4 linked regions of the Drosophila melanogaster genome follow. The protein of the gene in region 1 interacts with the protein of each later gene in a biochemical or structural test. Each region holds a gene or a part of one and is shown in the gene's direction. Other genes may lie near its edges. The genes, in order: Art1, sqd, nej and pAbp.

Region 1 (7,013 bases):
TTATAATCTCATTTTTTAAATGTAAACAATCATAAATATTTACCAAACATATAGTCTGCCGGCTCGACTGACTTATGCACTTGAAATACCTAGGATTTCCCACTACAAGTATCAGAGTATCTATTCTGTAAACTTCTAGCTATTAAATACATCACTGAATTATTGTTCAAATATTTAACAGAATTTGAATAAATAAAATAATGATTCAATTTGGTTTATTGGGAAAGAATGTAGTTTATCTTAATACTATAAATGGAAATACAAATAATGTGACGAAATGATTGAAGACATATTCAACGATGGACAAGAAATGAAGTGATTAACAGTGTTTAGCAAATTCGATAGAGCATCTTCCGTTGCATCCGGTGCTGCAGCTCTCCACGTCGGATCATGGTATGAATTACCTTCATTACCGTGCGTTCTTCGTATTTCTGACGCAAAAAGTCCTATGAAAAGCAAGCATTATAAATAAAAATTGTTCATTCGATTCATAAGACTTCTGTGCTTACCTGTAAGATATTCTGCTCCGATACTTGAGATCCAATTGCAAAGCGACGTTTCAATTGCTTTTCGATGCGGTTGAGTGTTTCCTGGTCCTCCTCGGTCGTGAATCCTTCGGCTCCAGCCAAGCTGCCAGTCATCGCAGCATCAAGGGTAGACACTTGGAAAAGTCGAAGTGCTTCGTTCACGTGCTCATCTGTGGCGAACGGTTGCAAACGAATCTTTGCCAGCGACTCCGAAATGCGGATGACAGCCTCCAACTGACGCACAGTGATGGGAATGCTTAGCCGCTTGTCAGATGCCTTCTCCTGCTGGCCGGCTCCACTGCGCATAAGCACGTAGCGGCTCTTTAGCTTCTCGCCGGCAGCTTCGCTCAGGCGCGGACCGCAATGAGTTCGGCAGTAGTGAATATACTTCTTGAACGTCGACAGCGATATCTCACCCTCAGCCGGCTCTGAAGGCGCTGACTTGTTAGAGCTCAGATGCACGTTGATGATGTGCTTGGCCAGCGTAATGTCCCGCGACTCATCGTGAATATCCTTTACAATGAAAATCATGTCGAAACGGGAGAGAATTGTGGGCATAAAGTCAATGTTCTCCTCGCCCTTGGTGTCGTCCCATCGACCGAAAATGGAGTTGGCAGCTGCCAAGACCGAACAGCGTGAGTTCAAGGTGGTCGTGATGCCGGCTTTGGCAATGGATATTGTCTGCTGTTCCATGGCCTCGTGAATGGCCACACGATCATCCTCTCGCATTTTGTCGAACTCATCAATACAAACCACGCCTCCATCGGCCAGCACCATGGCTCCACCCTCCATGACAAAGTTACGCTAAAGATTAATGTATCATTTAATTTGTAAGGATTAGGTGTGCAATGTTTTTTCTCACCGTTTGAGGATCCTTCATAACCGAAGCCGTGAGACCAGCCGCACTGGAGCCTTTGCCCGAAGTGTAGACTGCTATGGGTGCCACCTTCTCCACAAACTTTAACAACTGTGACTTGGCAGTACCAGGATCTCCCAGCAGTAAGACGTTAATGTCGCCTCGACGGCACAGACCATCCGGTAAACGCTTACGAGACCCGCCAAAAAGCATACAAGTTATAGCTTTCTTGATATCCCGAGAGCCGAAGATGCTGGGCGCCAGTGACTGTGAGAGACGTTCGTAGATGTCCCCAGAGGCGGCCATTCGCCGGAAGTGCTCCTCCTCATCGGATGTGATGTTGCTGTATCGGGAGATGGCACCCGCACCCTCTGAGTCGACGGTGATGCCCACCACCCTCATGTAAGGAGCACGGACTCCAACGACGGCTTTCTCGCGACCATCCCGACGCGAGGGTTTGCCCACCTTGCGAATGGAGTATATGCCCTGGATAAGCACGCGATTGCCGGGCACCACGCGTTCACAGAGCGAGCGATCGCAGAAGAGCTGCAAGTGGCGGGGAATCTCACCCTGTGGCACAAAGTCGGGGAGCTCTTGCAACTTAAGGGTCTGGAAATCGACGCACTTGCACTTGTCCGGCATGATGAAGAAGGGGTCCAGCGGGCACTTGGGTCTGCCCGCCTGCTCCGTGTTGCACTTCCTGGGTAGGGCGTAGCCCTCCAAACCTGGATTCACTTTGAGATTCGGTATGACCGTGCTGCAGGACAGGCATTGGATAGACATCCGCGTAGCCTTGGCACTTATTCCTGAGGCTGCGACAATGATTCCGGCGATCTTAACCAGCTTGGATACGCAGTCCGACTTCAACTGTCGTATGTTGGTGGGATTCGCATTGGAGCTCAGAAGAATCTGGATGTCGTGCATATGTTCCTCGTGCTCCGGCCGGGGAGCTGTGATCTCGTCGGCTACCTCCCGGGCAGCCTCCTCGAAGATTTCCAAATGCTCCGTCGGCTGCTTGTTCAGCTTGTCAGCCAAGGTCTCATCGAAGCCCACCAAATCCTCCATCTCAATCTCCAAGAAGTAGCGACCATTAAGATAGTTCCTCTTCAGGGTGTCACTGCAGGGGGATTACCTTAAATGGGGTTCAGATGAGGAGATGCAGTTCACTTACCGGTATTTGTAGAAAAAGTTCTCCTCGTTAAATGTCCGGATGAACTCCTTGTACTTCTTCTTTACCGCCTGCAAGTTGATTTGCGCATCCTGCTGGTTATCTCCGCCGAAATTGTCCGAAAAGAACACACCCGCATCGTCGAAGCCTTCCATTTTGATAGGGTAAACAAAGTTAAAAAGAAGAACTGAGGTAATAGACGCTACTTCTGCTTCGCTTTATATTTCGTTTTTTAGTAAATGCGATGTGCGAATATTTTGCCGCCAAAATTACCGGGCAAGCGGTAGCTAGAGATGAGCACTTACCAGTAAAACTATCGGATCTTATTTACAACTATCGATGAAACGTGTTTCCCAGTTTATGTATTTTTGTTAGCAGTGAAATAGGACCAATACAACAAGCATTGCAGCAGTTAATAAACCATGAACGTATTTATTATATCTTATTGATGTTATGACAAAGATTATTTTACTCGATTATATGGAACATGCCTTAGACAACTGACTCCAATTCTTCCCAGCTCAAAAATACTAAAATTTCAGAAAAATCCAATAATATCGAGCTGGCGATATTTGTTTCCAGCTTTTGTGCGGGGGCAGTGTTGATAAGCGACCTTTTAAACTAGCGTGCTGTAGAAACAGTCCCATCATTTAGTCGCCAATTTTTCGACGTGAAAAACCAAAGAGACGCCGAAGAAATTAGAAAATGGTAAGTTTTGGTCAAAATGTGACGGCAATCGACAGGCCAGTAGCTGACGAACCCGATTCGCAGGCCAGCACAGACATTCCCATGGAGGCAGCTGTGGAATCGGCGACCGGCATCACGCCCAATTCAAATGCGAACTCAAACAATGTGGCGAAGAAGCTGCCCGCGGAGGGCTCCACCGGTGATAATCCCAATGCCAACGCCGACGAGATGACGTCCCGCGACTATTACTTTGACTCCTATGCCCATTTCGGGATCCACGAGGAGATGCTCAAGGACGAAGTGCGCACCGTCACATACCGCAACGCCATGTACCACAACAAGCATCTGTTTCAGGGCAAGGTAGGGTTAACTTCCGGGGTTTCCCCATTTTTCGTAGCCCTTCTCACCGGGGTATCTCCTCTTTGCAGACCGTACTGGACGTGGGTTGCGGTACCGGCATTCTCTCCATGTTCGCTGCCAAAGCCGGTGCTGCTCAGGTGATTGCCGTCGACTGCTCCAACATCATTGAGTTTGCCCGCCAAGTGGTCATTGACAACAATCTGCAGGATGTAATCACGGTTGTCAAGGGCAAGATTGAGGAGATTGAGCTTCCAAATGGTATTGAGGGAGTGGACATTATTATTTCCGAGTGGATGGGGTAGGTTTTCATTTGTAGTTAAGCTTTTAAAAAGTGGTCATATTTGATTTAGCATATTAACCATTTTAATTTCTTTCCTTAATTTAGTTACTGCCTGTTCTACGAATCCATGCTGGATACAGTGTTGTACGCTCGGGACAAGTGGCTGAAGAAGGACGGCATGATGTTCCCAGATAGGGGCACGCTGTATATCACGGCCATCGAGGACAGACAGTACAAGGACGAGAAGATCAACTGGTGGGACGATGTCTACGGCTTCGACATGAGCTGCATTCGTAAGGTGGCCGTGACCGAGCCACTGGTCGACGTGGTCGATCCCAAGCAAGTGGTATCCACATCTTGCATGGTCAAGGAGGTGGATCTGTATACCGTGCAAAAGGCCGATCTTAACTTCTCGTCCAAGTTCAGCCTATGCATCAAGCGCAACGACTTCGTGCAGGCATTAGTCACCTACTTTAATATAGAGTTCACCAAGTGCCACAAGCGTCTTGGGTTCAGTACGTCACCAGACTCCACATACACGCATTGGAAGCAAACCGTGTTCTACCTCGATGACCACATGACGGCAAAGAAGAACGAGGAGATCACTGGCACGTTCCAGATGAAGCCCAACGAGCGGAACAACCGTGACCTGGACTTCGTCATCGACATTAATTTCAAGGGCGAATTGTCTCAAATTCAGGAGTCGAACACATACCGCATGCGCTAGGGGCAGCCATAACCAATCCGATCTGCCATTTGGGATGGGGCTCAGAGCCCTGCAGCGAGGATACATACAATGACTAGACGTAAGGTTTATTCCAGTGCGAAATGTGCAACGAATTCGTGTTGCGTCTTCTCCTAAGTTTAAAGTGTACCTTTGTTAGTATACATAATATTTTACACTCGTGCGCCTGTTTAAATTATTATTCGAACATACTTCTAAGCAAGTTGTACAGCAGCACGTCAATTCTCACATAATAAACAGTGCACTAAGCACGTCCCCTTTTGCTGGAAACAAACTGTTTTTGATGATATATGAAACCAATCAAAACTCGCTGATTGTGCGTCTTTATTTTTTAGTAAAAAAAAAAAAGGAATTTCAAGAATGCATCGAAAGATTTATATTGTCATCTGAAGTAAATTTACTTGGATCGCAATCGACATAGGAATTCCTACAGAAAATACGGCCTTGGCCGGCTTGTTCTTTGATGCGACACTGCTTAAACGATATCCTTTTGGAAACATTAATGACGATCCCGAGAATCCGAGCGACTTCGACGATCGCGCGAGAAGCTGCGGCTGCGGGGCGATCGGGAGCGACGTGGCGAACGTGACCTGAAATAAACGCATTGGTAAAGAAGAAATGATTACTTAAAAGCTTAATAAAATTATTTAAATCAGCTTAGAATGGTAAGAAGTGTATGTACATACGCGCCTTACAAAGAGCTGCAAAATAGGAGTGTTAAATACTGCTAAATAGTTACTTAAACTAATTACCAGGGGGAACAAAAATGAAAGCTGTGCAAACTGTTTTGTTTCTATGAATTAAGCTGTGAACCAATTAAGATAAGAGTATTATTGCTAATGCTGCTATTACATTTAGCTGCTGCAATTACATTTACTATCTATTACCAACTGATATCCTATAATTAGAGTTTAAAGCTTTCTACTTTGTCGGATACATATGCAATAAGAAAATGGTCGAACAAATCTATAGTAGCTGTGATCATCAGCGTTAAACGCGTTCAAGGCCAGTTTTCTCGACATCAGAGTCAAGTACTTGAGAAAGCGGACGAACCCTCATATCATAGGCAACTAAATTAAAGAAATAATTGTAAGCAATTATTTGAAGGATACGCAGGATAACTTTAAAAAAGAACTCTTTGGGCGACTGCATTGCTTCTTCTAGGATGAAATCATTTGGGTTGCTAATCAAAACTTCTGTGAGGCTGTGACGCTGAACATGGTTAATTTAGAGTTGCAAGTTGAAGGTTGCTGGCTGTGGCTGTGAAGATGGTTGCTGTTGTAGATTGTTGATGTTGTAGAAGGAAGAAGTAGCAGTGGAAGTAGTTCTAGCCGAAGGAGTTATCCTGAAAAAGTGTCGATAACTCGAATTTAACAACCACTAAATGATTGGATCGTAGATAATATATGTATACAGTTTGTAAGTTTGGTCTAAATAAAGTACCAAGTCAATTTTTAATTAGAAATGTTATGAATAGCGATGTGATGTCAGTTGGACATGAATAAAACAGCCTGCGAAGAAGTACTCATAAAACTGACATTTCGAAGGCTGTTCTATCACGTGCAGAAAAAGGCGGGAAAATGTACATGTTTGCTATTCGCAATTAATGTTTTTTGCGACGATTCCAATGAAATTTCGATAACAAATTTTATACGTTTTGATAAGGATTGATTAATTTTGACGGTTACAGGCAAGACCGCCATCATATGCTTAGAAACCTGAAGAAAGTACCCAATTTTTGGAGTCAAGTGATCCATTGTTCCATTTGGGAGACACATTGAGCCAAGTAACATGAGAAGTACAGTTTTTTTGTCGTGGAATTACCTGTAGCGTCCGGAACCAGAGCGACCACTACTGCCGCCTTCTCCGCGCCGGCGATCGCGCGAGCGACCCGAAGACATCTCTACGCGAATCCTAGTGCCGCAGCAGCGTGTTCCGTCCAGGGCACGCGTTGCGTCTTCCGCGTCACGGCGATCCTCAAATTCGACAAAGGCGAAACCTGGTGGATTGCGGGCCACCCACACGTTTCGCAGGGGTCCATATTTGGCAAATGCGCCTTCTATCTCGTGCTTGGACGCCGAGGAGCCCAGGTTTCCCACGTACACCTTGCAGGCCAAGTCCCACTCCCTATATCGCGGCATTTTTGTCGGGCGGTGCGGTATCGTGAGTATTGCGGGAGGTGAGCAAGCGGCTAAAACACGAGTATACGGGTTACTTATATTATCCGTGCAATGAGCTGTTGTATAAACACTAATTTCCACACTTACCTTCTAAAATGTCATCCAATTTTGTTAAAATTTTAACAAAAATCTCCGCCTTTCCTTTATTTATTACAATTACCGAAAAGTGTGACCAGACGCGGAAATAGTGGTGGCATCGAAAACCGATAC
Region 2 (8,033 bases), 2.9 Mb from region 1:
CGTTCTGGATGGGCTGTGGCGGCGGAACGGTGAACTGCGCGGGCAGTGGAACAGCAGCGGCTTGCGGAGCTGGTGGCAAAACAGCCACAGGACGTCCGGCGGCAGCACCCGCTGGCAATGGGTAGAAGATCTGCTGTGGGGCAGCACCACCGGCCGCTACAGGAGCTACCTGCTGGGGCACCACGACCTGAGCCTGTGGCTGCGGAGGAGCCTGCTGTTGCTGCGGCTGCTGGGCAACTACATCGCCGGCCACCTGCACAGCTTGATCCACAGTGCCACCGACGACCTGCACATCGTGCTCCTCATCGTTCTCCGATCGCGACTCGCCATCCTGCTCGTCCTCGATGTAGAGATCCTGATAGCGGAAGATGTCGTTGTGCACGTAGTACTTCTTCGGCGACTGAGCGGCCAGAACGAACGTCTGGGTAAAACGCCGCATCGGCTGGCCATCATTGGATAGCTCCCCGGTGACCTGAACCACCACACCGTTGCCCAAAGTGGCCTGGGCATCAACCTGGCTGATCTTCGCGTGGCAATCGTTGAAGTTCAGCTGCTGGATTCGGTTGTGGATCTCCCGCTGACCGACCACCAGCTTGGACTCTCCATGGATGTACGACGAGTTGTGGTTATAGAAGCGATGCAAGTGGTTGGGCGCCTTGTTCAACAGCGTGTAGTACTGGCGGACAAACTCGCGTCCCACAGATTGCGGCGAAGGCTGCTGCGATTGGGTCGCATCCATGACCATAGCTGGCGTTTGATTCTTCCTCTCTGAACTACGGACTCTTCGACTCGGATTCTTTGTCTCCGCTTCCAATTTCTGCTTCCCTTCTTTCTAGCTGCTGCTCGGATCTATCGACACGGTGGCTGATCTGTGTCGATTGAGAGTGTGGGAACGTCTGCGAAATAGTGCAAAAAATATACGCGCACTATGAAAATCTGTCTGGTTTTTTTAATAAAAAAAAAGAAAAGTTGGCAAAAGTCCTAGACGACTGTGTAGATTTTTCAATCTGATAATTTGAAATTAAAGGAAGCTGCTACCCTGTTTCTTACAATCTCCAAAAGGTGTTCAAAGATGGCTTATTCATACCTGTGCCGGTAAAAGTATAGAAACCATAATGAATCACTAGTTGTGTTATCAGTTAATTTCATCACGTGTAAATTTAATTTGGAGAATTAAGGCTTGATAACGGTAAAACACGCAAATATAAGAAACAAATTTAATTGGATTTTCAGACTGTCCATTAAATCAATCTGTGCTTCTTTTACATAAATTTCTAGAGAAATGTGACTGACTACCAAAGTGTTGACCCCTGCTGTGCTCTCCAATAAGGATCTAGAGTTTCGCTTGGTCACAAGGACGGCGGGGAGGGGGGGAGGTTTGTACACCCAAAACAGGGAGCTCATTTTACCGCAGTGCATATAAAACAGACGCAGCGCGCTGCAGTTTGACCCACTTTTGGGGCCCACACACATTTGCACATGCGAAAAGGGGAAATTTGGTGTAGTGCAGCTGTCAGGAAAAATTCCAATTTGCTTGCCGTCGCAGGACATTTAACCCTGCACGTGCTCCAGCTTTTATGCCTGCGATCCTGGCTGACTGAACTTTGCACGTGTGTGTGTGTGCGCGAGTAAATGACCTCATACAATTTGGCAAAGAAAAAAAAGAAGCCGCCAAGCGAGGAGCATGAATTAAATTGAGGTTATGTTCGGGTCTCAAGGTTGTGGCGCCGCATACAATGAACTCCAGCTTGGCCAAAATATCAAATTGCTGCCTTGCAAAAACACTTGAAATAGCGTTAAAAGGTGTAAGTAAATATCAATGTTTGCAGGTGTCCTTTGCCCCATTTTAGCCATAAACATTTGCCGATAAAACAAAAAATGCACAATGAGTTGCGGCAAACCCACACGCACACATATTCGGTTATGAACGCGCCGCTCTTTCGGGTTCTCTCTTTCCCACTCTATTTCTGCTTGCGAACCGCGTGTGTAGGAAGAACAAAGAAAGCTATAGTTGAAGAGCAGCATTTAAACAAAAATGTACAAAAACAAAATTTTTCGTACATTTTTAGGTTATGCACAAGCGATAATAAAAAAAGCCGCTAAAATGGTAAAAAAAAAAATTTAAGAGATAGAGCCCTGCCGCAATAATAAAATATACGCCCATTTAGCATTTTTTATGTTGATTTTTTCCTAGTATGCGCCACCCCTTTGAAAATGGAAAATGCTAGTTTTTCTAGACCGCGCACACGAGGCCGTCGCCGGCTCACCTTTTTTAAGCGATATTTTTCCTCGTTTTTATTTTTCCTTTTTGTAATGCACAGTGTGTATTGCTTTTGGGTTGAAGTTTGCCGAAAAATCGGCACTTTTTGTAGCACTTTTCTTTGTTATCTTCCTGCGGGGGGCGGGGAGAGTTGGATTTCTTAGTGGAGCGCTGAAATTATGCGGTTTTTTTAATTTACAAAACGATAGTCGAAACGTATGAAATGCAGTATAAAATTGCAAGCTGCACACAAAACACACAGCCACACACACCAATGCACTCACTCGCTCACACACACACACTAGTCTAGTTTGTTGCAATTCTTTTTGTCTTTTTTTTTGAGAATAACTAACTTGGCAATTCTTGACGTGTATTTTTTGTTGCTTTCTGATGTTTGGCGATCACAGTTGTTGTTGAATTAAGTTACGATGCATATGTTGTGGCTTTTGAGTAGAAAATAATCGCAAACGCAATGAAATTGGACAAGTGTGTTGAATCGAGAAGAGAACCGACGTTCGTTCCTCTTTTCCTCTTTTTTGCCTCTGCACAGTTTTATTCTTGGTTTCGCGTGTGTTGGTGTGTGAATGATGGCGGCTTTTCCAAGGGTGTGCACACACTTCTTTTTTTGGGGTGGTTAATCTAGTATGTTCCATAGAATATTTTGATGAATTTGATATTTTCATATTTGAGCTCAATTAAGCTCATTTTAGGGGCGCTAAGTTTCTTTTAAATAGTTTTATAAAACTTATTTTCATTTTAGCCATTTCCGATTTTTTGAGTAAGCTCATGAAACACCTTTCTTTAAAGGAAACATTTTATATAGCAAATAAATAAAAACCATAATAACGTTATATTATAACCTGTTGGGAAATCCGAATATGAAAATTGTATAAATTTTTGCAAAAAATAAAAATATTTAATATAAACCAATTAAATGATTTAAAATATTGTTGATGTTTCAGCCTATAAGAAGTTAATATGAAAATTCGATTTTAAACAATTCTTTGTATGTAAATGTTGTTTTCGTTCCCAACACATAGTAAATAATGAACATTGTATTTTTTATATTTATAAAATTATAAATGTTTATGAAATACTTAATATTTATTTAAATATTTAAACCTTTAATACAACTAAAATGAATTTATAAACCAAGTAACTTGTCCATTGTGTAAACTGGGCTTTAAAATATTTGTATAAAATTTTTGGTATTCTTTTCATTTTCTCTTCATAGGTGTGTGTACATTGTATAAATCAAAGCTGCCATACTGCAAGCAGACAAGTCACGCGCCCATTTAGCTCCTTATATAGGCTTATTTGGGGTGGTATCGTACAGAAAATCCCAATTTAATCCTTGGCAAATGTATAGCTAACAATCTCCAGGTAGAGCAAGCAAATACAATACAAATATTTACCAAAATAATACCAAATCGACTTGACTGGGAAAACATCAAGGTGGCAACGCCGCACCCATATACACACGCTGTCGTTTGCATTTATCATTTTCCGGTCGTCATTTCATTCGTACGCGCGACTTTTTGGCGAGTGTGTATAAAAATCTCCGGCTCTGCGTAAAAAACGAATATCGTGCTGCCTAGCCCCCGAAATTAGTAGATCAGTCGAAAACACACAAAATGGCCGAGAACAAGCAAGTGGATACAGAAATAAACGGCGAGGATTTCACCAAGGACGTGACTGCCGACGGTCCGGGATCTGAAAATGGTGATGCGGGCGCCGCCGGCTCGACCAACGGCAGTTCGGACAACCAATCGGCCGCATCCGGCCAGCGGGACGACGACAGGTATGTCCATTATCCGGCGGATACGTTTTTTTTTTGTTCTTTTTTATTTTTGCAACGGGCAACCGATGATCATGTGCCCCCCATAGATTTTCTGCTTCTACATAGTGTATATTGCCTACTCTGTTACGTAAATGCAAAGCTAACGTCGTTGGTCGAGTTTCATTGGATTTTACGGGGTTCTGCGGGGGAAGTCTGACCCCTTTTGTGTTCTCTCTCGCTTGCGCTCGTGCGTCGGAGTGTGTTTAAGTGTGTGTGTGTGAGGTGTCGGTGCGACTGTACTTCAGTCATATTAATAGAATCTTCGGGCCAAAATGCATCATCACAGTCTCGGGAGACATGGAAAATTTTCAACGTTTTCCCCTGCACACACACGCACTTTCCGCAATGAAAACCAGAGTTTTCTTAAGCTAGGAGCACATTTTCTCCCCTTTGTGAGGTTATGTTTGTTTCCCACGTTGCCCCACAGACACACTGTGACGCATACGAACACAAATCATACGGTTGCCTTTCACTTGCAAAAAATGTGGCGAAAAAAAACGTTGGAAAAAGTTATGTTTGTATTTGTCAGTGTATTCTTTTTAATTCGCATTACTCTTTGTTTCGGCTATTTCGTTGTTATTTTGTGCTCTTCCAGTTTTGTACCCAAAATGGCGGCTGCATACAGGCATACATACCAACCTAACGCCCGCTGTTCTGTAGGTGTGTGCGTGTTTTGCAGTTTTCACTTATTCTCTTGCTTGCCGGCTTCGCTCGCTCGCCACCTCTTTTGCGCGCTCTTACTCTCAGAGAGCGACAGCCGGCGTTGTTTGGAGTTGCCAAGGCGCCAAAATATTAATTTAACGAACAATTAATGTAAATTATAAATGATAAATAATTTTGATGGATTAAAGCATAGAGATAATGATGATCAAGTAGAATGGTCCTCTTGTTTGCTCCCCTGCGTTTTGGTTTTTAGGTCTAGCGTACACTTCATTTGCCCATCCTTTATGATCATTTTATATCTAAGTTTAATCTTAAGTCACACGATACTGTACATTTAAACGATAATACGAAACCAGCGCTGACGAAGCAGATGCAGATTATTCCCCGTAAAGGAAGAAGGACGAAATGGAGAAATTAAATCGAAAATCATAGCTTATCCTGTTGTCTTGTGAGCGAACTAACCTTGTTCCTCTCCGGCAGGTTTTGAGAGAAGTGAAATGCCCCAGGTCAGGGTTTTAAGCTATGCTCAAGACGGATATGGATTCGGATATGGATTTGGATTCGTATTCCTGCCCCCGGCAAACGGTTACGGATTCGGATTCGGATTCGGCGGACTTATACTTGGAGGATATGCAACCCTCTCCACACTCCAGTCTCCAAAAGTCTCCGCTCCGCCGATACTGATGCTGATGGTATTTATCTATCCAAAACTAAAACAAACAAACAATCAGTCAGTCAGCCAATATATAGAACTATCAACACACAAAATTATCAAGAAATAATCTCGATTTAAAATTGGATCCATATGTAAACTGTATACGAGTATATATTGTATTGTATCTCTTAACGTATAACTTGTAAATTACCTAAAAAAAAAAGAAAAACAAAAAAGTACCAAGTAATCGGAGACAGAGAGAGACCGAGTGAAAAAGAGACTCGCAGTTTTTTCGTTTTGTTTTATGAAGCTCAAAAACTATACATTATATATCGCCCGAAGAAAGAAACACAATGAACGAATGTAACGTAACGAATTGCCACAAAAAAGAAGCACAAATCACTAAATTGCAATCGAAATTCCGCCGCCGTGTGATGAGACTGTTCCAAATTTGCCGGGAATCCGCCGAGAACGATGAGATATCTTTCCAAAAAGTCCAGAAATCAATGAGTAACGTACACATCATAGTAAACTATAAGTGTCTGCATATTTTTTCAACATTCCTTTTTATAAAAAAAAAAAAATATAAAATAAAATAAACAGCCAAATAAAGAAAGTAAAACTAACCACAATCCAGCATAAAAACCTTTGCATTCTTTTCTCTCATCCTATTGAATAAAGACTAATTGTTAATTGTTATTTGTACAGACAAAGACTCTTAAGCATACCCAAAACAAAAACTTAATAATTCACTCTTGCATATCTTATATATACTATATATCTATATCTTTCGCTCGTTTTGTGTCTCTCGATCGATCGCTCGCTCGCTCCTCGAACTCTTTCGCTCATTCCGAGTTTGCAAGTATTTTGACACTATCCGATCAATTCTTTGATTGCAATACAGTAACTAAAGCAATTTTTCACTTCAAATTTGGTGAGTTTTTTTTATTCGTTTTGTATTCTTGCCCAGTCATCAAATTCTTTTGCAGCCAATACGAAAATCAGTAAGAGAAGAAAAAATTTAAAGTAAATTAAGAAAGTATTTGCCTCGCGCATCAAACACAACCTATTTTTCGTGCCTGATTTTCCCAGATAAACCTTTTCCTACCAAAATATTTCCCTAAATCTATATTGAAATGTTTTAAGATACCATCAATCTAACCAATTAATCTTTAAACTTTCGCAGGAAACTGTTTGTCGGTGGTCTGAGCTGGGAAACGACTGAGAGTAAGTATAAAACTAAAACGAAGTAAATAAACAAATGCTAACAAGTTGCTTTTCTATTATTTCAGAGGAACTCCGCGATCACTTCGGCAAATATGGCGAGATCGAGAGCATCAATGTCAAGACAGATCCCCAGACCGGTCGGTCCCGAGGATTCGCCTTCATCGTGTTTACAAACACCGAGGCCATTGACAAAGTCAGCGCCGCGGATGAGCACATAATCAACAGCAAGAAGGTCGATCCCAAGAAGGCCAAGGCCAGGCACGGCAAGATCTTTGTCGGCGGCCTCACCACAGAGATCAGCGATGAGGAGATTAAGACCTACTTTGGACAGTTCGGCAATGTAAGTAACCCTAAAGCGGTAGACCTTTTGGAATTTGCCAATAATGATTTACTTAAATTCTTTTTGTTTAAAGATCGTCGAGGTGGAGATGCCATTCGACAAGCAAAAGTCGCAGCGCAAAGGATTCTGCTTCATCACCTTCGATTCGGAGCAGGTGGTGACAGATTTGCTGAAGACGCCCAAGCAGAAGATCGCCGGCAAGGAGGTCGATGTTAAGCGTGCGACGCCCAAGCCGGAGAACCAGATGATGGGCGGTATGCGTGGTGGACCACGCGGTGGTATGCGCGGCGGACGCGGTGGCTACGGAGGACGAGGTGGTTAGTACAGCCGCTAACGAAGCAGTGCATTTTTGCTTCTTATGGAAACCGGCTCTAAACTATATATTTCACACCATCCCATAGGCTACAACAACCAGTGGGACGGACAGGGATCATACGGCGGCTATGGCGGCGGCTACGGCGGATATGGTGCCGGTGGTTATGGCGACTACTATGCCGGCGGCTACTATAATGGATATGACTACGGTTATGGTAAATACAACAAACAACAAAGTAGTGCTCAAAACAATTATTACAATAACAACACGTCGAGTAATTACCATCAAAACAAGAACAATAGCAACAACTATCAGCAGTTCTAAGTAGAGCCTCAGCCGCATAGAGCTGGCCTGGCCAGCAACAAAATCAGAAAGAAATAATCAAACAAAGCAAACAACAACAACCGCAGAATATAAAAACCTTCTAATTTTTGCCATAGACCTGATCTGATCCAAAATTTCCACGTTGTTGTGTTTCCCATTCAAACAAAACTGAGAGAAAAACAAAAACAAAAAGTTTAGCTGCATTTCGATATATAGTACCATATATATATATATATATATATTTATATATGCTTATATACCGCATGCATTGTCTATATGCATATTTGCATATAAATCATGTTGGTATATGATGTCAATGAACAACAACATCAAAAACAACAACAAGAACAAGAACAACTACGAAAGCAACGTCGCTAAAAACAAGAAAACTTTTAAAAATTGTAGATT
Region 3 (7,844 bases), on another chromosome or scaffold:
TTAGTGTCCTTTAGATCCTGCCGCTGCTCCATTGTCCTTTGCTTTAGTCGGTGGAAATACAAATATTTATTTAATATCTAACATAGCGGAGCGCACTTGGCTTACCAATGAGAGCATTAAACGCAATGCAGCAATTTTTGAATTTTGGAAACAAGGATCAACTAATGTCTAATGAATTCTTTTTATGGCAATATTGGCTGGGTGGTTAGGGAAATCGACCCATTCCTGTGAAAAATAAAAATATTTAATTAATATCTAATAAACGGAGCTCAGTTGCTTACTAAAAAACACAGAAATAATGGAAACGAGCAAAAAAAAAAAAAAATAAATAAATTTGTTTATGAATGTCAAGTTTAGTTTTAAATCTATGCACAACTTACATTACGTTTCGGATTCTGGTGTATTGCTTTTCGGCGGATCTGAATCGTCAATAACCCGTGCAGGTAATTGTTCATTAATATTTTTATTATACATTATCTCATTCTCCACCATAAGCATTAAAGTGCGTGCTCGAGGCACTTTATTAGCTAGCCTATTTTTAGCTTTAAATGATCTATGTATTGTTTTTCTTATTTTGTTTTTTTTTGGCTTTTCCTGGTTTGACTTTCGTACTTTCATGTTTTATTCTAAATTTTCCAAAACGTATTTGTTATTCGATAATTTTTACGTTGTGTGTTTTCTTTGGGAGTCAAAGTAGAAATGAGGGTTTTGCTTGTGGGTCGGTTGTCTTGTGATTGAAATTATGTTCAATGCCTACTTTGTTAAACAAATTTAAATCGAAATACCGAAGCTCACTTTGTTTTTTTTTTATTGATACAAATTGTCTTACATTAAATCTAAAATATTATTTGTGTGCGCAGTTTTAAACAGCGAATACAATAACCCAAAGAGCAAATAGCCATGACACCCACCCTTATGTAATAGCTTTTTGAACACCATCCAGCGGGAAGTCATGCAACTAAAGGCAACTGTTTATCTTTTCTTAACCTAGGTGGCGCCATTTCTATTTCACAGATGGATTAGGCGATACACCGAAAGAAATCAGTAGATGATTGATGATATAAAAAAATAAAATAAATGTATTGTCTCAATAGGTTATATTTTGCATTTTATTTATTTATTAGAACGTTGCAGACAAGAGTTTAAATCATATAGATATCGGCTATAGCTGCTGGGGCTTTCAGCCGGACTTCTACATTATTGTTTACGTATTTAGTTACAACATTATTTGCAATTATTTACATTGTATTACTGCACTTACCTTATTGGAATATCTCAGATAGGTTTTAAAGCAAATAAAATACGTTAATGTAGGATAATTTTTTATAAAGTGCATATGCACTTCTACAAATATAGCTATTTCTTTACGCCTACATATGCGTAACCTAAACCTGAAAATTATGAATATGTTCCCCTTGTAAACAGCAAATATTATCCAAAATAGGCGCTTTGCTCATTTTACTCAATTGTACAACTAAAATTTGTATTCCATTTAGGTACTTTGATTTGCACTGTTTTCTACCCTATGTTACGCTCCACTTACAATAGAGTTTTATCAAATTGTAAAACCAAACTTTATATTCCAATTATTTTTAGGTTTTGAAACTCTTCAGTTCTTCATTCTGCATTGTTATTATAGCACGTTTCATCCATATAAATACACAAGATTAAAGGCAAATGACAATAATATCCGAAAAGATAGCTAGATAATGAATAATTACGCTTTTTAGCTACACAGCGGCCACAATGACAGCACTGTTCCTCGTACGAATGCTAACGTTAAGAAGAGGAAGAGACGAGCGGTGCTGGGTTGAAAAAAACTGGAAAAGGGGGGAAATTGGCGCAAATTGTGCACGCGAGGCGCAGCAGGGACGTTGGATCTTAACTATCGGTTTGTGTTCCTTACTTTGCGGCAAAATTAATGCAACCAATTGCCGATATACTGAGAAAAATGGCATAATTAAATAACCAGATCCAACGCATGTAGTGTAAAAAGTCGGGCATTATTCCCAATCGCAAAAGAGAGAGAATCGGTATCACTCGCTGACCCGTCTCGTTCGAGTCTTGATCGCGGTATCTCGCTTGCACCCACATACCGAGCGCCAGCCAGTCATATGGCCGTCCCGTTCATTTCGGTGACAACGTGTCGGTGTGTGTGCATCAGTGTGCAAGCTTATATGTGTGCGCTGTGTATCTGCAACAAACAACGGCGGCCGCTAACAAAAAAAATTGTAAATAAATACGCTGCCGTTCGACAGCGCGCGAAAATCGAAAAAGTGCTCGAAAAGTCAACGAAAGAGCGCCCCCAAAAGAATATAAAAAATTCCGCTAGCGGAAAGGGGGGAACAACAGAAGCAAGTGGGACATTTATTGAACAATTTGAAAATTAATTTGTTCTGTGCGTTGTTTGCATGACCACCGGTTCGTCGGACAAGGACGACGATAGTGTATCCTTCGGCGGCTGATTTTTCGGCTTGCCTCTCTCTCACACGTTCTCTTTGTCTCTCACGGCAAGAGCGAACGGAAAACACGCTAACACTGAACCCACCAGAGATGCGCAAATCCAATGACTCGATTACTTACGTGATCCTCTGTAAATATCGTTTTTCCTTTGAAGAACTTTAAACTAGATTTTTACGATGGACAAACGTTTTCAAAATTAATGTCTACAAATACTTTTTTAAACAAAAAATTCTAAACAACTGCACTCATTCAAGATGTTGATTTATTAATTCATATTAAACATCTTTTTGGAATACCTATTTGATCTCAAAAACGCTGCAAAGAATATTCATTTCATAATGATGTTGGTCTCCAACCAATGATGTTTCTTACAAAACTTCTTTGTGCACATTTTCAAGTGACCGCATAAAAGTATCGGCGAATGTGTCACCGTCATCATGTGGTCATCTCTGGACTCGCTGCTTCGTTATCTGGCGCGCCATATGTGTGCGCGTGTGTGCGTATCGGCTCTTTGGGAGCGCATGGCGTGAGCGGTCTCGCCGACGCAGAGAGCGAGGGACTAGAGCAAAACAGTGTTCCGACAGCGGTTAACAGCTGTTACGGGGCCAACAGACTGCTAGCAAAGGCATTTATATGGATTTCGGGTCGTAACAGTACGACAACAGCGGCCAAACAGCACGCGAGAGCGACGAGAGCCCACTCGCGTGTTGTGTTAAACAGTCAATTTTAGTGTATTTCCGAGCTCGGTGGTGTATTTGAACGGCTAGCCGCGGTCACACTGAAGCAAAAACATTTTTGGCTCGGAGAACGATTAACACAAGCGGACTGAAATTTTTTTGTTTTAGTGTTGCGAAAAAGTTTGTGGGATTTTTATAAAATCGCCGGAAAATGTGAAAAATATATGGTATAAAACCGAAATTCGGCAAAATTGCAAAGTATAGTTAGAAATTTAGTGCGTGGCAATCGGTGACGGTGGAAAAATAAAAATACCGGCCAAAATCGGGCTGAAATTTTTTTCAAATTTTCTACGGCATTTTCTTGAATTTCGTATTTTCGCCAAATATTTTTGCGATTTTTGTGTGGGCCGGGAAAAATGAAAAACGCTCTGGCGGAGACAACACAAAAAATTTCTGCAATAGAAACTTTGAAACGACGTGAAGAAGAAAACGAAACGAAAACGACGAACGAACACAGAAAAAAAATGGAATATATTTCTGTCGTCTGTTTTTCTTTCTTTTTCCAATGCTCCTCGCACTCGTTGCCGTTTACCGTCGTGTGTATATTGCACACTAATGCCGCTTGGCACTAATACCATCGCATGCTTTCTCTCTCGGACTCGTGCTCGCTCTTGCACGAACTCGCTGTTTTCGAAGTGTGCGTGTGTGTAACTGTGTGGTGAAAACGGCGTTGGCGTCGCTGTGAGAATTCTGTACGCGCGCCCCAAACCCCAAATGTGTGCGTGCGTGAGTGTGTGAAAGCTTTTGTCAGCCAGCCCCACTGCACTCTAGTGTCATCCCGCTCGCACCCCACTCGCCACTCGCCGCCCCAACAAATTGAATTTCATATGATGGCCGCTCGAATGCGGAAGCAAAACCAAAATACGGCCACTTTTTCGGCCATTTAATTTATAAACTAGACTATAGACTACAGCCGCAACTGGCTGATACTTCAATTAATTTTTTTAAGCAGTGCTCTGACTTTTATTACCTGTAAAGGTGTGAAATTTTTTTTCCAAAAATGTATTTGTCATAAAAATGTTAAGCATGTTTCAAAGTATATTTTTGCCAACGACGGCACTTGTTTTCCATATTTTTTAGGGGACTGGCGGCAAAATGAAATTATTATTTTCATTTTCGTGGTGTGCGCCAAAAGAGCGAGAGGCCAACACACACGTCTGCGAGTAAAATAACGAGTACAGCGCTGGTAGTATTGGCGAATAAAATTGCGAGGCAAGAACAGACAAGAGAGAGAGAGAGAGTGAGTGGTCGTCAAGCGGCACACAGATGAGTGCAACGAGACCGAGAGAATTCTCGGTACTGTTCTCGTTGTTCTTCCCTTTTCGCCCCGTCTTCGGCACGTCTCGTCGCATTTTAGTTTCGTTTTGTTTCCATTTTCCCCTCGGTTTCGCTGTCCACTCGCGCGCGGCTAAATTACAAAAAAGAAAGAAGAAAATAAATAAATATTGCTTTCGATTTGTGTTCGTCCATTCAACATAATCTAATAGGCTGTGTATTATTCTTCTTGTGCGTTTGCAGTTAATGTGTAATGCTAGAGCGGCAAACGTCGGCAGCAGCAGCAGCAGCAACAACATCAGCATCGACAAAAACAACAGCAGCGCGCCAGCAACAAAAACAAACCGAAACACAACAAACCCAACAACAGCCAACAATGTGAATTGCTTTTTTTTCCTTATTAATTGTAAACGATAACCGAATCAAGTGCAATCAAAATTAAACACAAGCATATATAATATATGGTCAAAATATCTATATATATATATATATATTCCTGTGTAACAAAAAGCCGCCAAAAACAAATCACATAAAATATGTAAGATAGCGGAGAAAAAGGCGGAAAGAAAAGGAAGAGAAAGAGGAGAGAGCCAAACCAAGAACCGTTCTTTTTCGCTCAGTGGAGGCAGGCAGGCAACAACAGACAAACAAACAAACAAACAATAACAAGAGCCGCCCAGCCAAGGTCAACTTTTGGTGTTTTTGGGGCCCAACAACACAAAATGCACGCGTGTGTCTGCTGCTGTTCGACAAACAACAATTGCAACAACGAGAACAACGACGGCAGCAGCAGCAGCAGCAGTAACCACAACAACAACGACAGCAGCATCAGCAGCAGCAGCAAAAACAAATTGCAGCTAAAAAAGCGCAGGGCCGAAGTCGAAGAAGAAGAAGAGGTACTGGTCAAGCGGACGCAGGATAAGAACAAGCATCAAGAGGAGCAGGAGCAGGAGGAGCACCAGGCGGTGGAAAAGTTGTCTGCTGGCCAAAGCGCCAGTGGCGGCGACAACGATCTCAACGGCGCCGCAACGAGAAGGCGGTGGTGGCTGCGCGATCCTCCAGGATCAGCGGAAGCGGCAGAAGGAGAGGGAAAAGGCGAAGGAGTGGAAGTGGGTGTGGGAGCAGAAGGATCAGCGGGCACAGGTCCGACGACGTGGTGGTGGTCAGCTCCATCCGTTGACGTTGCGGTGACGATAGCGCCGGCTACGTTGTTGCTGTCGTTGCAGCGGCAATTAGCAAAGGAATTATCTAAATCAACAACAACAACTGCAACAAGAACAACAACAGAAGCCACATCCTTAGCAATAAAAAGCGGAGCAGCAGCGTTAATATCATCATTAAGTGCAAGCATCGCCAACATCATCGATTACAAGATCCCAAAACACCAATACCAAAACCAAATCCCAATCCTCGCCAGCCACGCCTTTTGAGTGCCTCTTTGTGTGTTGTGTATTGTGCGTGCGTGTGTTGCAAAGTGTCCAAACTAATCAAGAAATCTACAACTTAAAACACTAAACACTTAACCAAACAAACAACCTGTGCAACAATTGTCAAAGTGCTAGGCGACAAATAATTTCTGAAAGAAGATTTGACAAGTTCCAATAACGAAAATATCAGAACACACTCGAACTCCAACATAGACGGATCATTGGAGAGTTAGTGAAAAAAAAAAGCGAAAAATCAGAAAAACTTTATAAACTAATAGAAACAATACTACTCAGATTTTTCGAACGTTTTTCGTCTGCGTTTCTGTTTTTTTCCGAATCGAAAGAATCAAACTAACTCTATATGATGGCCGATCACTTAGACGAACCGCCCCAAAAGCGGGTTAAAATGGATCCAAGTGAGTACCGAAACCAGAATATTCGATTTCTCATTTTTTTTTTTTTTTTGTTAATAACTTTTAGTTTTAGTTTATCAAACTTGTATTCTCCAGTTATTTCATAATTTTTAATAAATTCCTTACGGAATTGAAAAAGCAATTAATTCTATCCAACTATTTTTTTTTTTAAGAAAATTCCTTGCTAAAAACAATTTGGTTGTATCTTCCTCCAGCGGATATCTCTTACTTTCTGGAGGAGAACCTGCCCGATGAGCTGGTGTCCTCGAATAGTGGCTGGTCGGATCAGCTGACCGGCGGAGCAGGCGGTGGCAATGGAGGTGGCGGCGCCTCCGGTGTAACCACAAATCCCACATCCGGCCCAAATCCCGGTGGCGGACCCAACAAGCCGGCAGCCCAAGGACCCGGCTCTGGCACAGGCGGAGTCGGTGTTGGAGTGAATGTGGGTGTCGGCGGTGTTGTTGGCGTCGGCGTTGTGCCTTCCCAGATGAACGGAGCCGGCGGCGGCAACGGATCCGGAACGGGTGGCGACGACGGCAGTGGCAACGGCTCAGGAGCGGGCAACAGAATCAGTCAAATGCAACACCAGCAACTGCAGCACCTACTCCAGCAGCAGCAGCAGGGCCAGAAGGGCGCCATGGTGGTGCCCGGCATGCAGCAGCTGGGCAGCAAGTCGCCCAACCTGCAGTCACCCAACCAGGGCGGCATGCAGCAGGTGGTGGGCACTCAGATGGGTATGGTCAACTCAATGCCCATGTCAATATCGAATAATGGCAACAATGGCATGAACGCCATACCAGGTGATTAATCGTTCTTCCTTGTAATTGGATATCCAAGTTATCCTAGCCAATGCAACCAAATGAATATAGCAACAATTATCTGAAAACCCAAATTATGTTATATCTTTCGCAGGCATGAACACCATTGCGCAGGGCAATCTGGGAAACATGGTGCTGACCAACAGCGTTGGCGGCGGCATGGGCGGCATGGTTAATCATCTTAAGCAGCAGCCTGGCGGCGGCGGCGGTGGGATGATCAATTCCGTTTCAGTACCCGGAGGACCTGGAGCAGGAGCTGGTGGCGTTGGAGCTGGCGGCGGAGGAGCCGTTGCCGCAAACCAAGGCATGCATATGCAGAACGGCCCAATGATGGGACGCATGGTGGGGCAACAGCATATGCTTCGTGGCCCGCATCTCATGGGTGCCTCTGGAGGAGCTGGTGGGCCAGGAAACGGGCCTGGTGGCGGAGGACCACGCATGCAGAATCCGAACATGCAAATGAGTGAGTTTCTAGTGCCAGATCTAGTGTATTTCCAGCATGGAATTGAATCGATGGCTGATGTAAGATTTCCGTCCGTTTGCAGCTCAACTCAACAGTCTGCCCTACGGAGTGGGTCAGTATGGTGGCCCAGGCGGTGGTAACAATCCTCAGCAACAGCAGCAGCAACAGCAGCAACAACTTCTCGCCCAGCAGATGGCCCAAAGAGGTGGCGTCGTACCGGGCATGCCGCAGGGTAATCGGCCCGTTGG
Region 4 (8,672 bases), on another chromosome or scaffold:
AGGGACGAAGTATTTCTGTGGGAACTGGAGTCGGAGTAAATGGCATCATAAACAGCATTTTCAAGCTTAAGGGCACCTCCAAGGAGCAGCCGCGCATGGTGCGCACCATCAAGCGAAGACTGAGTGCCAAAGACATTACGATAGGGCCCAATCAGGAAGTGCGCAGACGACGCACTCGCCGCCTGACCACGGCCATTGAGGTAAGAGTTTAACTAACAACAATGTAACTATAATGTTTGAGATGTTTTTTTCGTTTCCACTTAATAGGTCATCAGCACCACCACCATCAATCCCATACCCAGCCACTACCTTCCTATCTATGCCAAAGATCTGCAGCCACCCGCGCCGCCAATGGGAAAGCCGACACATGGGCGCCTGTTGCGCCAGCGACCACAGAAGCAGTCACCCAGCCAAAGCCGCCGGAACTCCACCAGCTCGACGGCAACCAGCAGCAGCAGCAACGGCATTGGAGCCCCAGGACATTCCATGCTGGACTTGAAGCAGTCGGTGAACAAGTACTTTGGTGGCGCTATGAATCGCATAGATGCTGGTGAGCCCTTTGCCATTCGGGCCAAGCGGCGCATGGGAAATGGACAGGTCCAGTACCTGGTGGAGTGGGGCGGAGATACAGCGACAACGGCGATTGGATTGCTTGGAAATTGAACCCTTTGGCATACCGACTCATTATGAATTTTATATTCTTCATTTCCATTATCATTTCTTTTCGTTATTATGTATTAATGAACGCTGCCAACTACGGGCCTCTTTATTTGTTAATGTTTAAAAGTTTATTACCAACCCACTGCCAAAATAGAAAAAGATTGTTCAAAATATTGGTTCAGCATTAAAGCGATAAAATGTTAAATTGTAAAAAAAAAAAACGAAAAAAAAGCAAAAAGCAACTGAATACAGGTTATAATTGTGCAATGGCAGTTAAGTGTTGCAGCAGAACATAAATAAGTTTTCACAAAATTGGTAAAAGTATTACAAGATTAATCTGGAAGCCTATGTAAAATTCGCTGATGAATGAAAACGTATTAAATAATGAGAACAATTCAGTTAAGTTCAGTACTGTACTTTAGCGATACGCCACGCCCATGTATGTTTTTGAAAAATATACCTTCAAATGGGAAAACTCACAAATCATGTCATGCATACAAAAAAAAAACAATTGATATACATACATACACACAAATTTAATAAAATGTAGGACTAGTTCAATAATTTTCACCCATAGTCTAGGCAAAACTACACAATAATGAATTAAGCCAGTACGTTTTATGTTTAACTATTAAATGCTACGAAAAATCAAAATTGAGTTGAAAGCAAACTAATTCTCAAGCCAAGTAAATGTTTGGCCAAACCAGATCGAAATATGTTTAATGAAGTATATAATGCCCAAATAAATGTTTCCGAAATGTCAAATCTTTTAAGATTTTACTCAGGACACGCCAGTAGGCGCCCAAAGTGACACTTCGCTTTGAAGCTTGTCAGGCACCGACGCCTCACACCGCTTCATTAGGTACTCGATCGCCAGATAGGGCACATGCACCAGACGTTCAAAACGGGAAAAAGAAAAAAAAAATTATCCTCAGCCATCCTTGAATGTGGTCTATTTCGTAAAAACAAAAACACAAAAAAAAAACTTAAAAAATTCTTCAATCTCTGTAGTGCCGATTTCCATCGAGAACGAAAAGAAGTACTCAAGCACTTCTCGGAGTGTCGACTTGCAGCCTCATCGCTTTATTCTCTGATTTAGGTAAGTTCGCACAGTGGGGAATTACAAAGATGGGATTCGGTTTTCGGAGCATACGCTAATATCTGTGCAGTGCCAAAAAATCATTTTCTAAAAGTCTACGCTCATTTTTAAAAGAAAAAAAAACTGCATTCCTAATTTTGGATTGTGTTTTATGAGACAAAGTATTCAAGGACATTGGCGAAAATATCAGAACATAAATGAAGCAGAGTTACCAAAGAACCCCTGAAAATGCACAAGTATTTCATGTTTCGGGAATTAGCTAAATATAAAAATTTTTTATGTGTGATGGCTGGCTTTTTTGAAATTCAAAATAATGCTTCGTAATTAGTAAATTGTCCTCACGGATTTTTTAGTGACATTTATTTGTCTCTAACCCTATGTGGCAGCATTGTGCAGTGGGATTTAATCGATACTTTGTGGGGTCATCGCTAACGAATCTCCTCTCTATGAGTCGTGTAGAGTCCGTTTACGTGAGCGGTCGTGGATTCGCTTTCAGCACACGGCTTATCACATATTTTTTGTGAAGAAAAAACATATAAAAAATAAAAAAAAATATTAAAACACAAAAACGTAACAAAAAAAATTGTAAAAAGTAGCAAAAAAAATCGAGCGTGTTTGAGAAGTAAGTACAGTGTAAAGCTATTGGTTACAATGGTGTAGAGAGTGAGAGGGCGCAACGCACGACAAAGCGAATAGGGAAATTTTCCTTTCCCATCGAAATTTGCTTTGTTTGCGGTCGTTCTTCGCTCAAAGATGGCGTCTATAAACGCCAGATTGCCCGCAAAATAGTGGTCTAGGAACTAGTTGTCGCATATTTTCGAGAAAATCAAAGAATTCCCCAAAATTCGATCAGGCAAACGCGTGTCTATCTTTGTGTCTGTGTGGAAATTTTCCAACACGAAGAGAAATAAAAGGGGAGAGCAAAGAGCAACAACAAAGCAAATGCCAACGTTGCCATGTCTACCGACTGTCACATGTACCAGTGTTGCCACCCAGACACACAGACAGAGAGACGAATAGAAGACCGAAAGCCACGCCGCTTTTTTTCTTTCTATTTCACCGCCTGCCTGGTCGAATCCATCCGGTCCGTAAAGATTAAGAAAAAACCCAAAATTCAGTGTCAAAAAAGTGGAAATTAATTGTTAAAAATTGCAGGTAGACCTGATCACCAAATATGGCTTCTCTATACGTCGGTGATCTCCCACAGGACGTCAACGAATCGGGACTTTTTGACAAGTTCTCGTCTGCTGGTCCAGTGCTGTCCATTCGTGTCTGCCGCGATGTGATTACCCGTCGCTCGTTGGGCTATGCCTACGTCAACTTCCAGCAGCCAGCCGATGGTGAGTAATCCCCGCAAAAGTAGTGTAATTTTTTTAGTCTTACTGCCCGCAAAAGTAGCCCCCTTCCGCGCGAAACAAAGAAAACACGTGTGCAGTTTTGCACTCGCTTACTCACACACGCACGCACACTAGCGCATGTCATACAGTGGGGCTAAACGCAAGTCCAAACTGGACTTTATTGAAAGATGTCTTTCATAGGAGACCAGATAAACGGCTTCCAAGTGTTTCATAACTTGTTCCACAGTGCACTGCTTACGTTAATCTCGTCGCGCACACACACACGCACTCAATTCCCGCCAGTGTGTACACACACACACATGATTATATCAGTTCCAGTTATTCTGGATGTATACGATTTGTGCGGGGGGATGATGGGGGCTAAACAGCTGGCTCGTGGCACTCATCAACTGTTCGCCTAGAAATTTCCGTCTCAATTTCGCACAAAATTGCAATTATGATGGAATAATATGGTTCCATACTGCCCAAACTGCTTATCGCAGCCCCGCCCATTGGTGGTTTCATTGTTTCCTTGCCCGTTCTTCTCGTTTTATTCGTGTGATGTGTGTTGTTTCCAAGCGGCAAACTTGCGCGCACGCACACGCCGACGCGCAAAAACATGTGTTCATTGTTGTTTGGACCATTTCTTTTTGGCCTTCATCTATTTTAGGTTATATTCCATTAACTGAGTTTCCGCACGTTCGCTCTTTAGTTTTCGTACTGCCTCCAACTTTTGTTTTGCTTTCACTTTCTCATATCTTCCATACTCTCCGCATTCCATCCATCAACACTTCCAAATTCTTGACATGTCAGTGAACTGCTTTTCGGCCTCTCTTTTAACCATCAAAATCTTGTTTTTACAAAAAACGAAAACAAAACTTTCACTGCGCATAGTTGGTGCTTCTTCGATTCCCGTTGTTCGCTTACATTTGTTTATTCAATTAAGCGCACAATGGCACAAAGCTGGCGGTTGGTGATGATTACGCTGCGTGTGAAAGTCTGTCGCATTCCAGCAAGTTTCTTGAACTCTAGCTGTTAAGGTTAGGTTGGAAAAACAGACCTTTCAAAAATGATACCATCTCGTTCTAGACTAGTAACACCCTAAATGTTTTTCTTTTTTCGATTCATATCTCGCAACTCCTACCCATTGGTTGGTCAGATTTATCTCTTTTTGACACGACTAAGATTCAATGTTGCCAGAGAAAGCAATGCAACTTACCATGTAGATGGCTGATCTATGCCATCCACAGAAGTAGAAGCATAACAAACACTAAATAATACATCATATGATTAGACTCGAAGGATTATGCCCTTTCTTATCTAAGCTTCTAGCAACTTCTACCCATTGGTTGGTCAGATTTAACCCATTTTGACACGACTAAGATTCATAGTTGCCAGAGAAAGCAATGCGACTTACCATGCTGATGGGTTTTGCATACCATCTGCATAACAAACACTCAATGTATCACATGATTAGACTGATAAGATTGTCCTTGTATTTAGACATCTAGCAACTCCTACCCATTGGTTGGTCAGATTCAACCCTTTTTGACACGACTAAGATTCATAGTTGCCAGATAAAAGATCAGACTTGACTTACCATGCACTGCGCTGCTTTTGCTCATGGCCAGTGCAGAAGTTGAAGAGTCACATTGTTATTTAAGCCCCTTCAACTTATAATGATCTTGATATACCCAAATCGTGTCGGTAGTAACCAAATGTTTTCCCGATTTTCATCAACAGCTGAGCGTGCTTTGGACACCATGAACTTTGACCTGGTTCGCAACAAGCCCATTCGCATTATGTGGTCTCAGCGTGATCCTTCTCTTCGTCGCTCAGGTGTGGGCAACGTGTTCATCAAGAACTTAGATAGGGCCATCGACAACAAGGCAATCTACGACACTTTCTCCGCCTTCGGCAACATTTTAAGCTGCAAGGTAGCCACCGATGAAAAGGGCAACTCAAAGGGCTATGGATTCGTCCACTTCGAGACCGAGGAGGCCGCAAACACGTCCATCGACAAAGTCAATGGCATGTTGCTCAACGGCAAGAAGGTCTACGTGGGTAAGTTCATCCCGCGCAAGGAGCGCGAGAAGGAGCTGGGCGAGAAGGCTAAGCTCTTCACCAATGTATATGTGAAGAACTTCACTGAGGATTTCGACGATGAAAAACTGAAGGAATTCTTTGAGCCCTACGGCAAGATAACCAGCTACAAGGTCATGTCCAAGGAGGATGGCAAGAGCAAGGGCTTCGGATTCGTTGCATTCGAGACAACAGAGGCTGCTGAGGCGGCCGTTCAGGCTCTCAATGGCAAGGACATGGGAGAGGGCAAGTCCCTGTACGTGGCTCGTGCCCAGAAGAAGGCCGAACGCCAGCAGGAGCTGAAGCGCAAGTTCGAGGAACTGAAGCAGAAGCGTCACGAGTCTGTGTTCGGCGTTAACTTGTACGTTAAGAACCTGGACGACACAATCGATGACGATCGTCTGCGCATCGCGTTCTCTCCATACGGCAACATCACATCGGCCAAGGTCATGACCGATGAGGAGGGTCGCTCCAAGGGATTCGGCTTCGTGTGCTTCAATGCCGCAAGCGAGGCTACCTGCGCCGTCACCGAGCTGAACGGTCGCGTCGTCGGCAGTAAGCCGTTGTACGTTGCTTTGGCCCAAAGGAAGGAGGAGCGCAAGGCTCATCTCGCCTCGCAGTACATGCGTCACATGACCGGCATGCGTATGCAGCAGCTGGGACAGATCTACCAGCCCAACGCGGCTAGCGGCTTCTTTGTGCCGACCCTTCCGTCAAATCAGCGTTTCTTCGGTTCCCAGGTGGCCACTCAGATGAGAAACACACCCCGCTGGGTGCCCCAGGTGCGTCCCCCAGCAGCCATACAGGGTGTCCAGGCCGGAGCTGCCGCTGCTGGTGGCTTCCAGGGCACAGCCGGTGCGGTGCCCACTCAGTTCCGTTCGGCTGCTGCTGGCGCTCGCGGGGCACAGCCTCAGGTGCAGGGCACACATGCCGCCGCTGCTGCGGCTAACAACATGCGCAACACTGGAGCACGCGCTATTACTGGCCAGCAAACTGCAGCACCCAACATGCAGATCCCCGGAGCCCAAATCGCTGGCGGTGCCCAGCAGCGTACTTCCAACTATAAGTACACCTCAAACATGCGCAATCCTCCAGTGCCACAGTTGCATCAGACCCAGCCAATTCCACAGCAATTGCAAGGAAAGAGTAAGTTTTAGGTCGACTGAAAATATGCACAATTTGTCACTAATGGCACCATTGCTATTTTTCTTGCAGATTCTGAGAAGCTCATTGCCTCGTTGCTGGCCAACGCCAAGCCGCAGGAGCAGAAACAGATCCTGGGCGAGCGTCTGTATCCGATGATTGAGCATATGCACGCCAATTTGGCTGGTAAGATCACCGGCATGTTGTTGGAGATCGAAAACTCTGAGCTCTTGCACATGATCGAGGATCAGGAGGCCCTTAAGGCCAAGGTGGAGGAGGCTGTGGCCGTGCTTCAGGTGCACCGCGTCACCGAGCCCGCCAACTAAGCTCGAACAGCTCAAGCGTATGAACATTTTACAAGAACACTTTACACCCAAAAAGTAAGTAGTCTACAAATTTTCCGAAAAGTTCAAGCTGTCTAAACTCGCCTCTCTTTTGTCCTTGCAGTTTTCCACTAATCTTTCAATACATGAACAACAAAAATTCGCATTCACTGATGCTTTGCGCAGGGGAGGATTGCCAAGGACACACAATTAACACAGAAAAACAAAGCGAAAAATCTACGGCTTTTTCTTTTCTAATCCCAGAAACATCAACAAAAGCAATTTCAATCATTTAATTTCGAACGCATTTACGCAAGTACACGAAGCAAAAGAAGAAAGTCACGCAATCAAATTCTGCAGTCCACTTATAAATTCTTTTTTTTTACATAAACATGTTAATTAAAAAAAAAAACGGAAAAATGTGAAATGAAAAAAATTTCGTTATTGCTTTAACTGGATCGATATTATTTTGTATGCGTATAATGAAAACACCAAAAAACCATTGCAAAATAAACAGATTAAAGCAAAGCATACATGTAAACCGCTTCTTGCAAGTATTGAAATTGTGTTTTAAAAATTTTAAAGAAGTTTCTAGTGTTACATACATATTGAGTTTTTCGTACACTTTTTCCATCCACACTTTCAAACAACAACAAACACGAAAGCGATATGTAATTTTTTTCAATTCTTTTTTCTCAAATTCAAACTTTAAGAAAGCTTTGTTTAGAAAAAGAAACGCGACAACCATACACTTTTAAAAAAGCAAAGAAAAAACAAAAAAATTGCAAAAGAGTTAAAATAAAAACGAAAAAATGGAAAGCAAACTGTGCAGAGAACAGAAGAATAGAAAGAAAGAAAGAAAAAGAAAACCGCAAGAATATGAGAGTCAAGTTTTTGCTACTTTGAAAAAAGAGAGAAAATACAGAATACCAACAGCTGAAAAAATATGTTGACAAATGAAAACAAAACATAAATCGAAAAAACTACAAAAAAATGGCAAAACCTATGTAAAAACAGCAAAAAAAAAATAATATATATAAACACAAAAACACACACACAGCAACACACATATTAAACAACCACAACATATATGAGAAATACAAGAAACACATGAAAAGCGCTAAAGCGTAAACAACTTATGAAGCATATTAATAAACAACAAAAAAGCAGACAGGATTTTTATGATTACACTATTATCCGAGAGAAGGAAAAACATGCATACATTTATAAACATTTGCAAGAACATATATGTATTTAATGAGAAGGAGCTGGTAAGTCGCCTCGATTTCATTTGCGTTCCGATTTCTGTTACAAAGGATATCGAGAGTTTTACCAGTAAATGATGTTTTTACACCATACATACATAAAATGATATATTAACGCAAGCGGAAGTAAGAAATGGCTTTCGCTCTGGGCAGTGAAATACATATTTTTTTATTAAACAAATCGAAAACTAAAAACAAATAAAAACCCAAGGAAAAATCATTGAAAAAATTGCAAAACACAAAACCACATGTATGCAGAAAATGCAAAATTATTTAAAAAAAACAAACAAACAAAATAATGAGAGTAAAACAGAAAAAAAAAACATAACCAAAACCCGAATTGGAATGTTAGTTCAAGGGAAATTGCGAAGAAGAAAACTTTTACTTTTCACGAAATATACGCAAGTCAACACACTTCTATATATAGCAGATATATATATGTATCCTTATATATTAAAGCGAAATAAAACATAATTTGTATGATTAAAGAAAATAGGATTCTTGAAACTTGATTGCCCGTCTTCGAAGCAAAAGCCCAGCAATTAAAACCATTTGAAGAAATTGTAATAAATGCAGAGAGAAAGTCCTTAAAACATACCTTTGTACACCCAACAAATTTAATTACAATAAAATTCCACTTCGGCAAAAGCGAGTGTTTTCATTTTTCAGCGGAATGTGGGTGGGATGGATTTTTATGTTTAATATCTATTTAATATTAACATACATATATGATATTGCTTTCATATGAGATGAGATGCCATAT

What was found.
Region 2: of the proteins of Art1 (region 1) and sqd, one has a biochemical effect on the other in vitro, tested with the Drosophila melanogaster proteins (one study listed by BioGRID).
Region 3: of the proteins of Art1 (region 1) and nej, one has a biochemical effect on the other in vitro, tested with the Drosophila melanogaster proteins (one study listed by BioGRID).
Region 4: of the proteins of Art1 (region 1) and pAbp, one has a biochemical effect on the other in vitro, tested with the Drosophila melanogaster proteins (one study listed by BioGRID).

The regions. Positions count from the first base shown.
Region 1 is NT_033777.3:10,784,358-10,791,370, reverse strand, and holds Art1 (arginine methyltransferase 1), read left to right. Parts: upstream 1-3,144; 5' UTR 3,145-3,256; coding exon 3,257-3,259; intron 3,260-3,322; coding exon 3,323-3,598; intron 3,599-3,666; coding exon 3,667-3,896; intron 3,897-3,983; coding exon 3,984-4,605; 3' UTR 4,606-4,890; downstream 4,891-7,013. Other genes in the region: Mcm5 (minichromosome maintenance 5), read right to left, coding at 330-446, 510-1,331, 1,390-2,500, 2,555-2,706; Rbp1 (RNA-binding protein 1), read right to left, coding at 5,851-5,968, 6,448-6,764.
Region 2 is NT_033777.3:13,641,781-13,649,813, reverse strand, and holds the start of sqd (squid), read left to right. Parts: upstream 1-3,509; 5' UTR 3,510-3,894; coding exon 3,895-4,061; intron 4,062-5,243; exon of another isoform or gene 5,244-5,455; intron 5,456-6,604; coding exon 6,605-6,645; intron 6,646-6,710; coding exon 6,711-6,985; intron 6,986-7,058; coding exon 7,059-7,302; intron 7,303-7,386; coding exon 7,387-7,515; coding exon of another isoform or gene 7,516-7,625; exon of another isoform or gene 7,626-8,033. Other genes in the region: rin (rasputin), read right to left, coding at 1-745. UniProt on the Drosophila melanogaster protein: Component of ribonucleosomes. Could be needed to organize a concentration gradient of a dorsalizing morphogen (Dm) originating in the germinal vesicle. At least one of the isoforms is essential in somatic tissues.
Region 3 is NC_004354.4:9,681,026-9,688,869, reverse strand, and holds the start of nej (nejire), read left to right. Parts: upstream 1-3,202; 5' UTR 3,203-3,320; exon of another isoform or gene 3,321-3,367; intron 3,368-4,718; 5' UTR 4,719-6,263; coding exon 6,264-6,318; intron 6,319-6,530; coding exon 6,531-7,115; intron 7,116-7,227; coding exon 7,228-7,596; intron 7,597-7,660; coding exon 7,661-7,844.
Region 4 is NT_033778.4:18,138,574-18,147,245, forward strand, and holds pAbp (poly(A) binding protein), read left to right. Parts: upstream 1-1,504; 5' UTR 1,505-1,759; intron 1,760-2,203; exon of another isoform or gene 2,204-2,381; intron 2,382-2,801; exon of another isoform or gene 2,802-2,843; intron 2,844-2,914; 5' UTR 2,915-2,933; coding exon 2,934-3,099; intron 3,100-4,228; exon of another isoform or gene 4,229-4,365; intron 4,366-4,426; exon of another isoform or gene 4,427-4,569; intron 4,570-4,605; exon of another isoform or gene 4,606-4,751; intron 4,752-4,839; coding exon 4,840-6,324; intron 6,325-6,393; coding exon 6,394-6,647; 3' UTR 6,648-6,701; intron 6,702-6,768; 3' UTR 6,769-7,662; downstream 7,663-8,672. Other genes in the region: Pcl (polycomblike), read left to right, coding at 1-200, 268-663.